2 linked regions of the Neurospora crassa OR74A genome follow. The protein of the gene in region 1 interacts with the protein of each later gene in a pairwise test. Links are inferred from orthologs where the notes say so. Each region holds a gene or a part of one and is shown on either strand. Other genes may lie near its edges.

Region 1 (6,009 bases):
CCGTTGATATCGACGACATCTAAACGTGTCGTTGCCTTCTCAACACCATATCGTCGCCTCATTCTTCTCGGCACCTAAGAGGAAAAGAGGCAACAAACACCAAATTGTTACCGAAACATGCGAAATAACGCCACCCTTTCCCAACTTCCCCCTTCTTCCTATCCACTCCCTTTTACGTCCTTCTCTCCAAGTCGGTATCCCCAAAGGGTCTGGCCAGGAAGTAAAGGGGTCGTCCAGGAAAGTCCAAAAAAGCTGTCTTCTCTCTCAAACCATTCTGGTGGTCTCTGTTTTCGGTGTGTGTCGGCCGTACGCAGCCAGCCCACGTTTTTTTTTCAACCCATCAACCATAACCGTTAACAGCAGCAGCCAGTTTGGTTCCCCGACAGTTTGGTGTGCCTATTATTTCCTTGTTTTTCCGGTAACAAGACAAGAAACAAATCTTACGAACAAAATCAGGAGGAGGAGAATCGGAGCCAGGTACAATGGTGGGAGGGACGTCATTTACCTGGGTCCGGTTAGTTGGTTTGCGGGACTCGAGGTCCTACAACCAGGCAGAACGAAGGAGGAAGGCTGGCAGAGTAAAAAAGTTAAAAAAAGGGGGGGCGAAGGACATAAAGAGCATCGATCCATCCGCAATGAAAAGAGGATGGTTACGTGCACTCTGGGATATTAAAAGGGGTTAGGCTGTTTTTATGATAGGATGGCTTTGTCATAAACGTCTTTTATGTTCTTTTAGGGGGCTCTCTCATGTCTGGTTTCTTTTTCTTTTTTTTTTTCCCTCTCTCGAGCTAGGAAATGGTATTTTGGTACGATCACACATTACTAGGCTTCTCGGTTCACGCGAGATGTGTCTGTCGGTCACTGGAATGTGACCCTGTAAGAGCCAAAGCACGTCCTTGTTCTACTCGAGGACAAGACGCAACATGTGTTAAACAGCACCTCTTCATCCCCTCCTCGCTCAAGTCCCCATCCGGCTATGTACATATATCATTTTTCGTTCCTCTTCTTGCTCCTTGCAAGACCCGCCCGCACCGCCCAGTAAAAGTCTTGCTTGTAACAACATTCCATCAACCTCACTAGAAGAGAACCGCCGAGATGTCCTACTCTTCACTATTTATGCTTATCCTGGTCCAGTTGTTCGATATATGACCAACACTTCTTCTACGATGTTTCGGAGCTGTCCGTCTCCCCCTTATTCAAATTGTTTCTATGAGACTAAACCAAACCCAAGTGACGAAGTAATTACTGGTCCGTAGGTAGCTCTCGGAAAGCAGCAGCATAAGAAACTCGGGACTCAGGAACATTGAAATTGTTGAAAGCGGCAACTACTGTAGTCACGCGACCGAGTATTTTCCTTTTTTCCAATACAAAACACTGTCAAACAGTCCTAGGTAGGTAGGTAAGTAAGTAAGTAATCTTCAAGATACATATATATCAATGAAACCTCTTCAGGCACTCGCCGCTGTCTTTGAAGAGTATCAAGTTAAGATGGGAAACAGAGAATAAAAAGCTGGTATAGTATTTCTGAAAGTGGAAAAAAAAAGTATAATTTTGCATTTCTTTTGTTTTCTTGTTAAACACCAGTGACGAGGTGTGAATATTTCCAAATACGGTGAAGCTATATATATATATATAGTATGCAACGACACTGCATCCTTTCTTTCATTCCTTCCTTCCTTCCACCCCTCAGCTTTCCTCTTCCCCTTCCTCTCCTTCTTCTTCTTCCTCCTCCTGTTCCAGCAACGGCCCATCCTCGCCGTCATCATCTCCTCTATGGCCAAATAACGACCAGATGAATGGATGATGGTTGGATATCGGTGTCTCTCCAGTCTTGCTTTTCATTCCTTTTGCACTCTTCTCCTACTTGGAACCTTGTTGTTTTCCGGTGGCTCTTCACCGTGTCATTGTTGGTATCGGGCACTTAGTCCCAATCATCACCATCATCTTCATCATCTGTTTTTCCACCAGTGTTAGCATCATTCTCGACATGCTCTCACACTTCACAAGCCAGGGATAATCCAGATACTTACCACTCTTGCTAACCTTCTCCTTTCTCTTCTGCAACGCCAACGCCAACGCATCCGCCATTCCACCACCGCCACCCGGCGCAGCTCCAGCGGGCGGCAATCCACTGCTTGCGGGCCCACTATCGGAGCCACCAGGAACAGCAGCACCGGAACGATCGCGAATCTGGCTTCTGTCTACCTTCTTCAACGCCCTGATACCTCCCGCGGTCTTGATGCCGTCCAACACGGCCGAACGACTGCCGTCAACAGGTGGCAAGGCAGGGGCGGGCGGTGGAGGCATACCACCTGGAGGAGGGGGAGGAGGAGGGGGAGGGACACCACCCATACCACCCGGTGGAGGAGGCGGAGGCGGAGGCGGTGCGCCGCCTGATGGTGCGGGCATGGGTGGCATGGGAGGCGGCGGCGGGGGAGCATGTGCTGCGGGTAGAGGGGGCGCCGGAGGTGCTGGCGGTGCCGGTGGTGGCGGAGGAGGCGCGCTGGTTGCGGGAAGGGGAGGTGGTGGAGGCGCCTGGGTGGCCGGTAAAGGCGGCGGAGGTGGCGCGTTCGAGGTCGGGAGAGGCGGTGCCTGCGGTGGTGCCGGGCTTCTAGTTGGCAACATGGGGGGCGGCCGTGAGCTCGCAGGCGGGAGGGGAGGTGCTGGTCCCGGTGCCTTGGGAGGCAGAGGAGGTTGCGCAGCTGAATTTCTCGGGGGCGGTGGCGGAGGAACAGAGCTACGGCTGGGAGGCGGCGGGGGTACACTTCGTTGGCCTGTGAATGGCGGAGGAACGCTGAACCTCTGGCTCGGGTCCTGATCTTCGAGTGGCGTCTTCGGCGGCCGGGGAGGTGGTGGAGGTCCAGGCGCAGAGGGCGTATGTCGCGGGGGATCAGAGTGGGCAAACTTGCCAGCATCGGCGATGGGAGGAGGAACAGCAAATCTCGGCGGAGGGGCCGGTTCCTGGTGGTTTTCCGTGTCGAGCTTGCCGGATCTCCTTGCTGGAGGGGGAGGCGGGGGTACTGGCCCTCTCCTAGAGGTCGATGGAGTTATCGACTCGGAGACACTGCGCGGAGCAGCAGCAGGAGGAGGTGGTGGGGGAGCTCTCATTGCGGGACCATTAGGAGGAGCGGATGGCGGCGGCGGCGGCGGCGGAGGAGTGCTCGTGTGTATACCCTGCTTCGCTTGCTCCTGTTTCAAGAACTCAATGATAAAGTCCTGGTTTTCGCGGATGAAGTCGTCGTCGAGGCCTTGGGCCTTGAGGTCGTCACCGAAGTGTTCCCTCCACAGGGGATCGAAAGCATCCAGGGTCGCAAACTCGGAAGGAGGCTTGTATCCGTTTATTCCATTAGTGCTTCCAGCTCTCATACGGCCTGCCGGTGCAGCGGCACGTGGCGACTCGGGCGGGGTGGCTGTCGGAGACGCGTGCTTATGTCCTCCAAACAGACCGCCGAAAAGACCGTGGTGCTTGTGGTGGTGTGCCTGGGATGCGCCTCCGAAAGGTGTCTTGCTGGTAGCCTTGCTGGCGTTCTTTTCCCTGTCGTTCATCTTCTTGAGGAACTGCTTGGCTTCCTTCTCGTCCACGAAGGACAAGCCAGCCAGGCATTCCTCAAGCTCGAAGGTATGGAAGAAGACACGGTCCTGGTTGTAGTTCCAAGTGTCGAAGATCTCCTGGTCCCATATCACTCCCCTGTTTCCGGGCTGTCCGATGTCAGCCAAATGGTGGCCAGCCACGCAATCGTCATTTTCACACTTACCGAGATATCAACCATCTTGATCCAATATGTGTTGCCCACGAGATCATTTGCCAGAACGACGGCACCCTGGAGGCCGGTATAGGTCCATCTGGACGGGTTGGGGTAGGCTACATAGAGCCTGGCGACGGCGACGGCGTGGATCTTGTTGGTCTGCTTGGGCACGCAGCGCTTGACCGTTTCCTTGTCGTCGTCGCTGAGGATGGACGGCATCGTGAATATATATGGGGGGTGGAAGCGTGGAAGTGGCTTGAGGTAGGTTGCGGCCTGTCGTCCCCTTTAGATCGTCCAGGGGGAGCAAAGCATGGATAGATTGGGAGTCGTTATGCGGAAATTCGGTAGAAGGACTCGGCCGGCGGGCGCAGCGCCGAGAGGTACTGTTATGAAGCTGAGTCGTCGTGCCTTGATCCGGTCGGCGGGTCGGTCGGCGAGGGGAGGGGGGCAACGTCGACCGAAGGGTGAGGTAGCAAGTCGGAAGTGGGATGTCGTATTAATGCTTTTCGGGTCGTTGGCGCTTGTTATCGACGGCCAAGTATCTTGTCGGTACAAGATAAAGTAAAGCTCCGCGCTTCCGTGGCCTTGCCGCGTAGGAATAAAAGCAGTTGACGGAAGCCTAGAAGAGACAATGGAAGTTGCCGGTTAGCTAGAGGTAGGTCTGGGTATTGGAGGCACGGATGTTTGGTGGTTGGTGGGAGGAATAAGGAAGACTCGGCCGCCCGGATGTCCAATGACTGAAAGGAGCAAAAGCAGATACTGAGTAGAAGAGACGGCGGCAGGCTGGGAATAACGTACCTCGGACAATGATCCAGCAGCCTTCAGTTGGCAAGCTTAGTTATAATCTGCCGTGAAAATTCAATGTATTAAAGCTGTACAGACTACAGAGAGAGGAGCAAGTCCCATTGCAAGGTAGACAAGAAGGAAGTTGAATTGCGGGTGTACCTGGCAAGAGGTTCCTTAGGCATGCAGTGAGTGTACACTACTTAACTACACTATGTACGGGGATTGGGAGTTGCATCACTACGGCGGCGGCAACGACCGGGCTGTTTGGCTTTGACTGAATGGAATCAGGATGGCAACGAAACCCCAGCAAGCCACAATGACCAATTTCCGACGGGAAGCGACCAACTTGTGGACATGAACCAGATAGCGTCATGACATTGTGCCGGGGGTGGATAGGGCGTCAATTGTCCGTGTCCACTAACAGTGGGTACCTATCCCTCAACTGAACCCCTCCACTATTCCCGCCCGCCGCTTGCACAGCCGACCTTTCGCTTGCCCGCCGTGATGATGGATGTCCAACGAGACGGTTCCTCCGAGAGCTGGGTGTTTGAGGGACATGTTGAAACTGGCAATGACAACAACTTCCATGTGCATTTGGAGGTTATATGGCTCAGGTTGATATAGGATGAAAGTAGTGTAGGTATGTACGAACATGGGATGACATGAAAGTACCTACCTACCTTCACATGCTAACATTGCTCCCATTTGAGACAACTTTCGAGGACCAGACCCCTCTCATTTGGGCGCAATTCCACCACCAAAGTCACTTTAGGCTCCAACAGGACTGATCCATCAGAGTAATTGTCAAAACAGTTCAATTATGTTATGTGTATGTGTGTGTATCATTCAGTCATTGCAATCATTCCATCCATTCCCCTGTTTGTCCGAGTCCATATCTTTACTTGTTGAGCGTCTCGGCCTTGGCCCTGCGCTCCTCCTTGGTGCCCTCCTCGCCGCCGATGTTCTGCGAGATGGCGGGACCGGGCATGGCCTTTGACGCCTGCTCGAACGTGGCCTTGGCACTATCAGCGAGCTTGTTGAGGGGGTTGTTGGGGTTCTTCTATTTGTTTGGCCAAAGAGTCAGTTTTCTGTTTTCTGTGATTCACACAAGGCACCAGACTAGGGAGGAAATGGTAACGTACTTGCTCGTCCTTCTGGGTGTCGTGGGGAAGAATGTTGACTTCCTTCTTGCTGAGATCGTCGCCGCCGGCCATTGTGATGGTCTTGATGTTATGACTTGTCTTGATGGTTCGTGAGGAGTGGGTCGTAGTGAGACAACTGAGAGGAGTCTTGATCAACTTTTTCGATATCGTCTTGCAGGAAGATGGGTAAGGTGTAGAAGTGGAAGGTTTTGAAGGTCGAGAAGGGTCTCTTTTATAAAAGAAAACGATGGATGAGCAAAAGGGAATAAATAGGAAGAAACCTGTAGTCGTCGTACCACGTACAAGGGGCCTAAAAGAGAGGGTGTAAGACAATG
Region 2 (6,175 bases), about 470 kb from region 1:
TTACGAGTGAAACAAGATCGTTCAGGGGAAGAGAAGCCTTCCAGGTGGATCAGCGGTGAACTATCGGGGGTCATTGAAATAACAAGATCAAAAAAGCCAAGCTCCAGCCTTATGAGAGTTTACAGTGGTAGGTAGCTTGTTCAGTGTTCCACTGTCCAGGAGCAGGGCCTTGTGTTGTCCGGGCACCAGTCGCTGTCCAACGGGCGGTGTCCGGGATGCGGAGGCGGGGTTGAATTGAACGGTATGTTACCTTACAGCCTTACACGACCCGTCATCGGTCTAGACACGCGCCGTCAAGGTTCTTTTTCCTCTGGACAATTGCCACTGCTTGAGCTCAGCTTCTGTTTACCATCTTAATTCATCTTTGCGACATCCCCTCGAGGCGGGTATAACCGATACCACCGATACCGCATCGCATAACCCCAATTACCAACAGAACTCGCCCACCAACACCATGGACGTCTCCCAGGAAACCTCAAGCCTCGACAAAACGTCTCTAGCCACCATCTCCCTCCTCGAATCCCGTCTCCGGCGGATCGAGCACATCCTCTACGGCCCCTCCGACCCTCCAACGCAAGCGCCCTCTTCCTCCGCAACGACCTCTCTTGCCCAGCTTGAACACCGCTTCAATCTGCTCATTCGGCGCTTTCGCGTGTACGCCGAGCTGCTTAAAATTCGTACGTCCCTCTCTGTCTCCCACCTTTCCATTTCGCATCACTTCAAAGCTAACCAGAGGCCCCAAACCAGACAAAGCCAACCCCACACTCTTCCACACCTCCCCCTCGGCCGATCAAAAGCTCCCACCAACGGACCTCCCGCCTGCTGCCATTCTCGCGACAGTCCTTTCCTACGCCTCCCAGTTTCCCCAGACCGCGTCCGCCCTAGTTGCAGCCGCCCCAGCCAACACCATTGAATCCGCGATTCCCGACAGCAAACTCTCGGCCGAGTTGGCGAGCTTGATACCCCGGATGAAGGGACTGGAGGCCATGCAGTTGGCGCAAGAGGCGGAAATAGCGGAGCTCAGGGAGAGGAGCGAAGCCGTGATGAAGGCATGGTATGAGAAGAGGGTGCTGGGGTACGGCAAGTTTGTGGCGGAGGGTGAAGCGAGGGTGGAAAAGTGCGAATTGAGGGTAAGGAGAGCGGAGAGGGTGAGGGAGATGGACGCCGCTATAGAGTGAGAAGGCAAAGAGGAGGTTCGAGACAAGATTATGCGATACATGGCTAGTGAAGCGGAGGAGCATGGATTTTGGCTTGCGGGAAACAAAACTCACACGGAAGCCATTTTACCGCCGCTAGAGAACGGCGTCACGATTGATCAACAGGTTAGGCGACCGCGAACAAATCACTGGGGTTGTGCGTATGGAATACGACACGCCGTTGGTAGCGCGCGTGCACTTTACGAAGTGTGAAGAGCAGATCAACAGTGGTTGGCACATTCGTACGAGAACAATGCTAGTGACCAAGGGAATGGGGCAGATGTCATTGCGCGGCAGATATCACGCGACAGATGCGCGGGAGTCGGGCGTCATCTTTGGCCCACTGGAATGTTCAGCCGATATCAACACTCTGCTCGCCGTTAGCACCGACAAAAACCAGATCGACGGTGCTGTGGTAGCGCTCTATCTGGAATGAGAATTCACGGGAGAGGCTTTTTACAAACGTCACAAACACGCTTGATAGCCGGCAGTGATTGTTTGGCTCCTGCAGATGGGATTCCGAAACGAACGGCGTTGCCCTAGAACTCACGCGGCGAGCCTAAAGCCCCTGCCTGCATGCTGCATGGGTGTGGATTCGTGGCATGGTGAATCCGTCTCTCTGTTGACATTTTCTGCCCGTCACCGAGCTCAGCTGAGTGATGTCGCATGGTAGCCAGCTCTCAGCCTATCATTTACAGTCGGTCACGATGTTTCTGGACGACCTAGCAATGAGTGAATGGAGCACAGACGCAAGCCACATGGCTAGCTGCCTGACTGACTTCCGAGTGTTACAATGTTGTGAATGTTTGAGACTTTTTGACTATGAGTTTGAACAGTGTCGAGGTAAGATATATCAAGATGGAAGAAGAAAACAAGAATAAAAATAAAGATGTCCTGGCCATGACCCAGTACCCTAGAGCCATCATTCACTTTGAACAGGTTAATCACCCAAGCAGAGTCTACCTCTAGGTAGGTATGACTCCCCATCAATCACCACCATCAGCTACAAAGACTGTCAAAAAGTGCAGAAAAAGAAATCGAGCTGCTACAGTAGCCCGCCCTGTGTCTGTGTACCTCTAATTTGCTCCATGCTCCCGTCCCCACACAGCCGCTAGAGGTACAGTAGGTAAGCAGCGCCTGGAATGTCTTGGCCTAACGATTTGCAGTGAGATTGAGGACCGTGCCTCTTCTGACTGGACATTGCATTCATTAGCCCAGCAAATGCAATAATGCGATTGGCTCGTTCGCAGTGTTGCCGCGTGTTGCCCGGACATTGTACCTATGTCACTGCAAGGGAAGGATTCATTCATTGTGCAGCGAGCAGCCGCCAGGCAACGCACTCCAGGAGTCCAGAGCCTCCACAGCGGACATGGCTCCCCCCCATCTTCAGTGGATTCAGTGGGCTCCATTGTTGGTCCCTTCCTCACTTCTCTTGCGCGGTCTCGTCCACTCGTTTCCACAGCAGCAGCCACCTCATCCCCCCCCGGTTGCTGCCCGCCCCGGAGTCCCTCAGCCAGGCCCCGTCGTTGGCCTTCCATTCCGGATCTCCCACCACCACCCAGCCGTCGTCACCCACACCCACACACACACCATTTCCCTTTTCACGTCCCCGTCCGTCCGTCCTGCCCGTGCGATCCCCTCATTTCTGTTCGTTCCCTCCTTCAATTTTTCTTCCCTTTCACTTCTCCATTGGCCGGCGTTGATCATCGCCCCAGCCACGTCCAACAACAATTTGCTCAATCCATCAATCGCTCCCTTCGTTCCCTCAACCTCATCAACCTCGACGACGACGACGACGACGACGACGACGACAGCATACGATTGTCCGACCCTGAGCTGAGCTGAGCCCTTTATTAACGCGAACCGGAACAAGACGGGGGGATAGTACAATACGACGTTGGCAGGTACCGAGATATCACACCCGACTACCGTCATACACCGGACAAACAAAGAAAAAGGGAAACAAAAGAAGAAAGAAAACAGGAAAAAGGAATCCAGGACCATTTCCAGACTTCCAGTGGACTCTTCTACCGCCCTTCTTCCAACTACCGATTGATCTTGCGTGTTTACCGTATCTACCCATACCGTACCGCCGCCGCCATTCGTTCCAACGGACAACTACCGTACCGTCACATCTCCCGACCCGTGCGACCGACTCGTTGCTTATTTCCCCTGAAGATTCAAAGGCTCTGTCCTCGTCTTGAGTGTCCTTGGAGTACCCGACGGCCACTTCCCTTGGACTCAGCCTCCTCTTTGCGGATTGCCAACCAACAAACACCCGACGGAGCAGCCCGACAGCGACCACCCAATCTTTCAATAACATTGCAACTGTCCTACCTTCGACTCATTTCCATACATCGCCCAATTACTACCTACCCATATTTGCAACGACCGAGACGAGCCATACCGCGTTGCTGGACACCGAATTCCTCGCTCAACGTCTTGCAGCAAACGACAATTGCTACCCGACCCGAATTTCTTGCTTCGACTTCGACCACTTGTCGCCGTCGAACTTCCTCTCTTTTTTTTTTCGTGACATTGCATCTGTCATTGCAGAACAAACACATCGCATTACCAACCGCGGACTGGTCCCCGGAATACGACACACACACGGCCCCTCGCCGTCATCTTATACCCCAAGTGAAGGTGTGCGTCAACTAAAGTGTCCCACACACGTCGGTCCATCACTTATAACACGGACCTCGAATATCCCGAGAGGACGCTCTTCCTTGGCGACCTTCGCCCTTGATGCAATCGTACGGAGGATCGGTTAACTATCCCCCGTCCTTCAACAACCCCAAAATGGAACACGGCAGGAACTCGTACCGCCGAAAAGGCATAGACATGGGCAACATTATTGGTGACCCATTTGCTCTGGCCACTACTTCTATTGCTACTGTGAGTTTCCATACGCGCGCGCGCTGGCGTCCACCCTTTTCCCGTCCTGTCGCCTTCACGAACTGACAATCACCACAGCTGTCATGGATCATCATCCTGTTTGGATCCATCTTTGGCTTTAGGGACCAAAATGACGGATCGAATGGGGCTCCCGTCATTGTTTGGCCAACCTACAGCTGGTTCACCCTCGTCTTCAACTTCTTCCTCATTCTCGGCATTTTCATCGTCATCGCCTCGGACAGCGCTCAGACCTACCATGTCGCCATCGTTGGCTACCTGGCCGTCGGGCTGGTCGGCTCCACGTCGTCGATCAACAACCTGATTTACAGTGGCGTTGCGTCCATGGAGGCGACAGCGGCTGGGTATATCTTGTTGTCCATGGTGACGGTATGCGGTTCCCCGCTAACTTCCCCCAGCTGGCTGACCCCATTTGCTAACGTCCCGCCAGATCATCTGGATATTCTACTTTGGCTCCGCCCCATCGGCTGTTCCCCGTGCCTACATCGACTCCTTTGCGCTGACCAAGGAATCCACCCTCCCTGCGCATCACATGAGCCGCCAAACCATGAACCACAACGGTCTCTCCTCTCCCAATGCTTACGGCTCCTACAACATGCGCCCTGAAACCTCGGCCTCGGGCCTCCAGCCTCCGCAAATGTACACGGGTCAGCTCAACGGGCTCGAAAACCCCGCTCGCCAGTCGCAGATTCCCCAGGGTTTCTCGTCCAACAACATCCCCAAGCCGCAAGGAGAAGGGGAGATCGTTCCGCCGACGGAGTACCCGTACAGGGCCAAGGCGATATTCAGCTATGAGGCCAACCCGGACGATGCCAACGAGATTAGTTTCTCCAAGCATGAGGTGCTGGAGATTAGCGACGTGAGCGGGCGGTGGTGGCAGGCACGGAAGGAGAATGGAGAAACGGGTATTGCGCCGAGCAATTACTTGATTTTGCTATGAGCGGGCTTGAATGGGTCGGGGATGGAGTTGAGGTTTTTCTTCGTCTTTTTGAAAAGAGAGGATTTGGCGTGTGAACCGCCAGTACAAAACAAAATCATGAAGTGGTTTTTTTTCTTTTATCTATCTTTCTTTTGAGTCGGCGTTTTATACCCACATTAACGTTACACTTTCTTCTCGACCACCCACGGGACTCGTAATGCGACACACCAAAAACCGTGGCTCGTTTGGAAACGAAGGCGAAACCGGATGTTGGATGCGGACGGGGCAAGGTTTGGGTGGAAATGGAGTTTTTTTTCCCTTTTTTCTTGCAATGTCATTTTTCTATCTTCTCTTACCCTTTTTCTCAATGTCTTTCCTTTCTCGTGTTACACTAGTTCTTGTATCAACTTTACATGTCTTCTATTTTGCGTTCGGCAGCTACGGCAGAGGATAGGCCGCTACTGGAGAATGGCAATGGAAGAGGGAACAGGACAAAAAAGCGGGGGAAGATGGAAATGGGTGCTGTTTTTACGAATTTCATGCATGGCGAGGAACGGAGAGAAGATGGACGGACGGATGGAGGCTGTGAACCCAAAAGGAGATGTACCCACAAGCAGCAATTGAACATCCAGCGGCCGGAGTTGGGGATGTTGGAACTACCTACCTGTAGAGAATGAAGACACAGTCCGCTTGATCATGATATCGATAATGTACCGAGTCCGATGATTAATTGAGCTTGTTGGCTGCCTCCCAATTTGCGGGTCTCAATCGCCAATTTCCAATCTTCATGATGGAGGAAAATCCGAGATTATCGAAATTAGCCAGGAGCGAAGGTGTGGAGATGCGAGGATCTTACCTAACCTCGCTCCAGGTCGCTCATCACCACTACCCATGTCCATCACATCTCGGACAGGGATATTGCTTACATTGTTATGGTCCAACATGGAAACAGCCAGCCACCTAGTGACAAAGACAGCTATGAATGTACACTACATAGGTAGTTTGTTACAATTGTAGTAGTCCGCTAAAGCAATAGCAGATTGGTTGCAAACATGCCCGTCCAAGGAACTGACATCTCTACTCTAGAGGTATTTCCCCAGTTCATTGCGTTGCTCTCTGTTGGTAACTTACGTAGCTTCATCCA

The links.
Region 2: the proteins of NCU07438 (region 1) and NCU08067 interact in binary tests that used the Saccharomyces cerevisiae proteins (3 or more experiments, as listed by UniProt). The link is inferred for Neurospora crassa OR74A from reciprocal best matches to the Saccharomyces cerevisiae genes LAS17 and SHO1.

Annotation. Positions count from the first base shown.
Region 1 is NC_026501.1:625,109-631,117, reverse strand, and holds NCU07438 (WASP-like protein las17p), read right to left. Parts: upstream 4,767-6,009; 5' UTR 4,545-4,766; intron 4,366-4,544; 5' UTR 3,966-4,365; coding exon 3,756-3,965; intron 3,700-3,755; coding exon 2,031-3,699; intron 1,954-2,030; coding exon 1,922-1,953; 3' UTR 1,531-1,921; downstream 1-1,530. Other genes in the region: NCU07437 (eukaryotic translation initiation factor 1A), read left to right, coding at 1-23; NCU07439 (hypothetical protein), read right to left, coding at 5,431-5,592, 5,675-5,746.
Region 2 is NC_026501.1:155,335-161,509, forward strand, and holds NCU08067 (osmosensor protein), read left to right. Parts: upstream 1-2,702; 5' UTR 2,703-3,944; coding exon 3,945-4,094; intron 4,095-4,172; coding exon 4,173-4,481; intron 4,482-4,542; coding exon 4,543-5,052; 3' UTR 5,053-5,782; downstream 5,783-6,175. Other genes in the region: ro-10 (RO10), read left to right, coding at 455-677, 748-1,178. UniProt on the Saccharomyces cerevisiae protein: Plasma membrane osmosensor that activates the high osmolarity glycerol (HOG) MAPK signaling pathway in response to high osmolarity.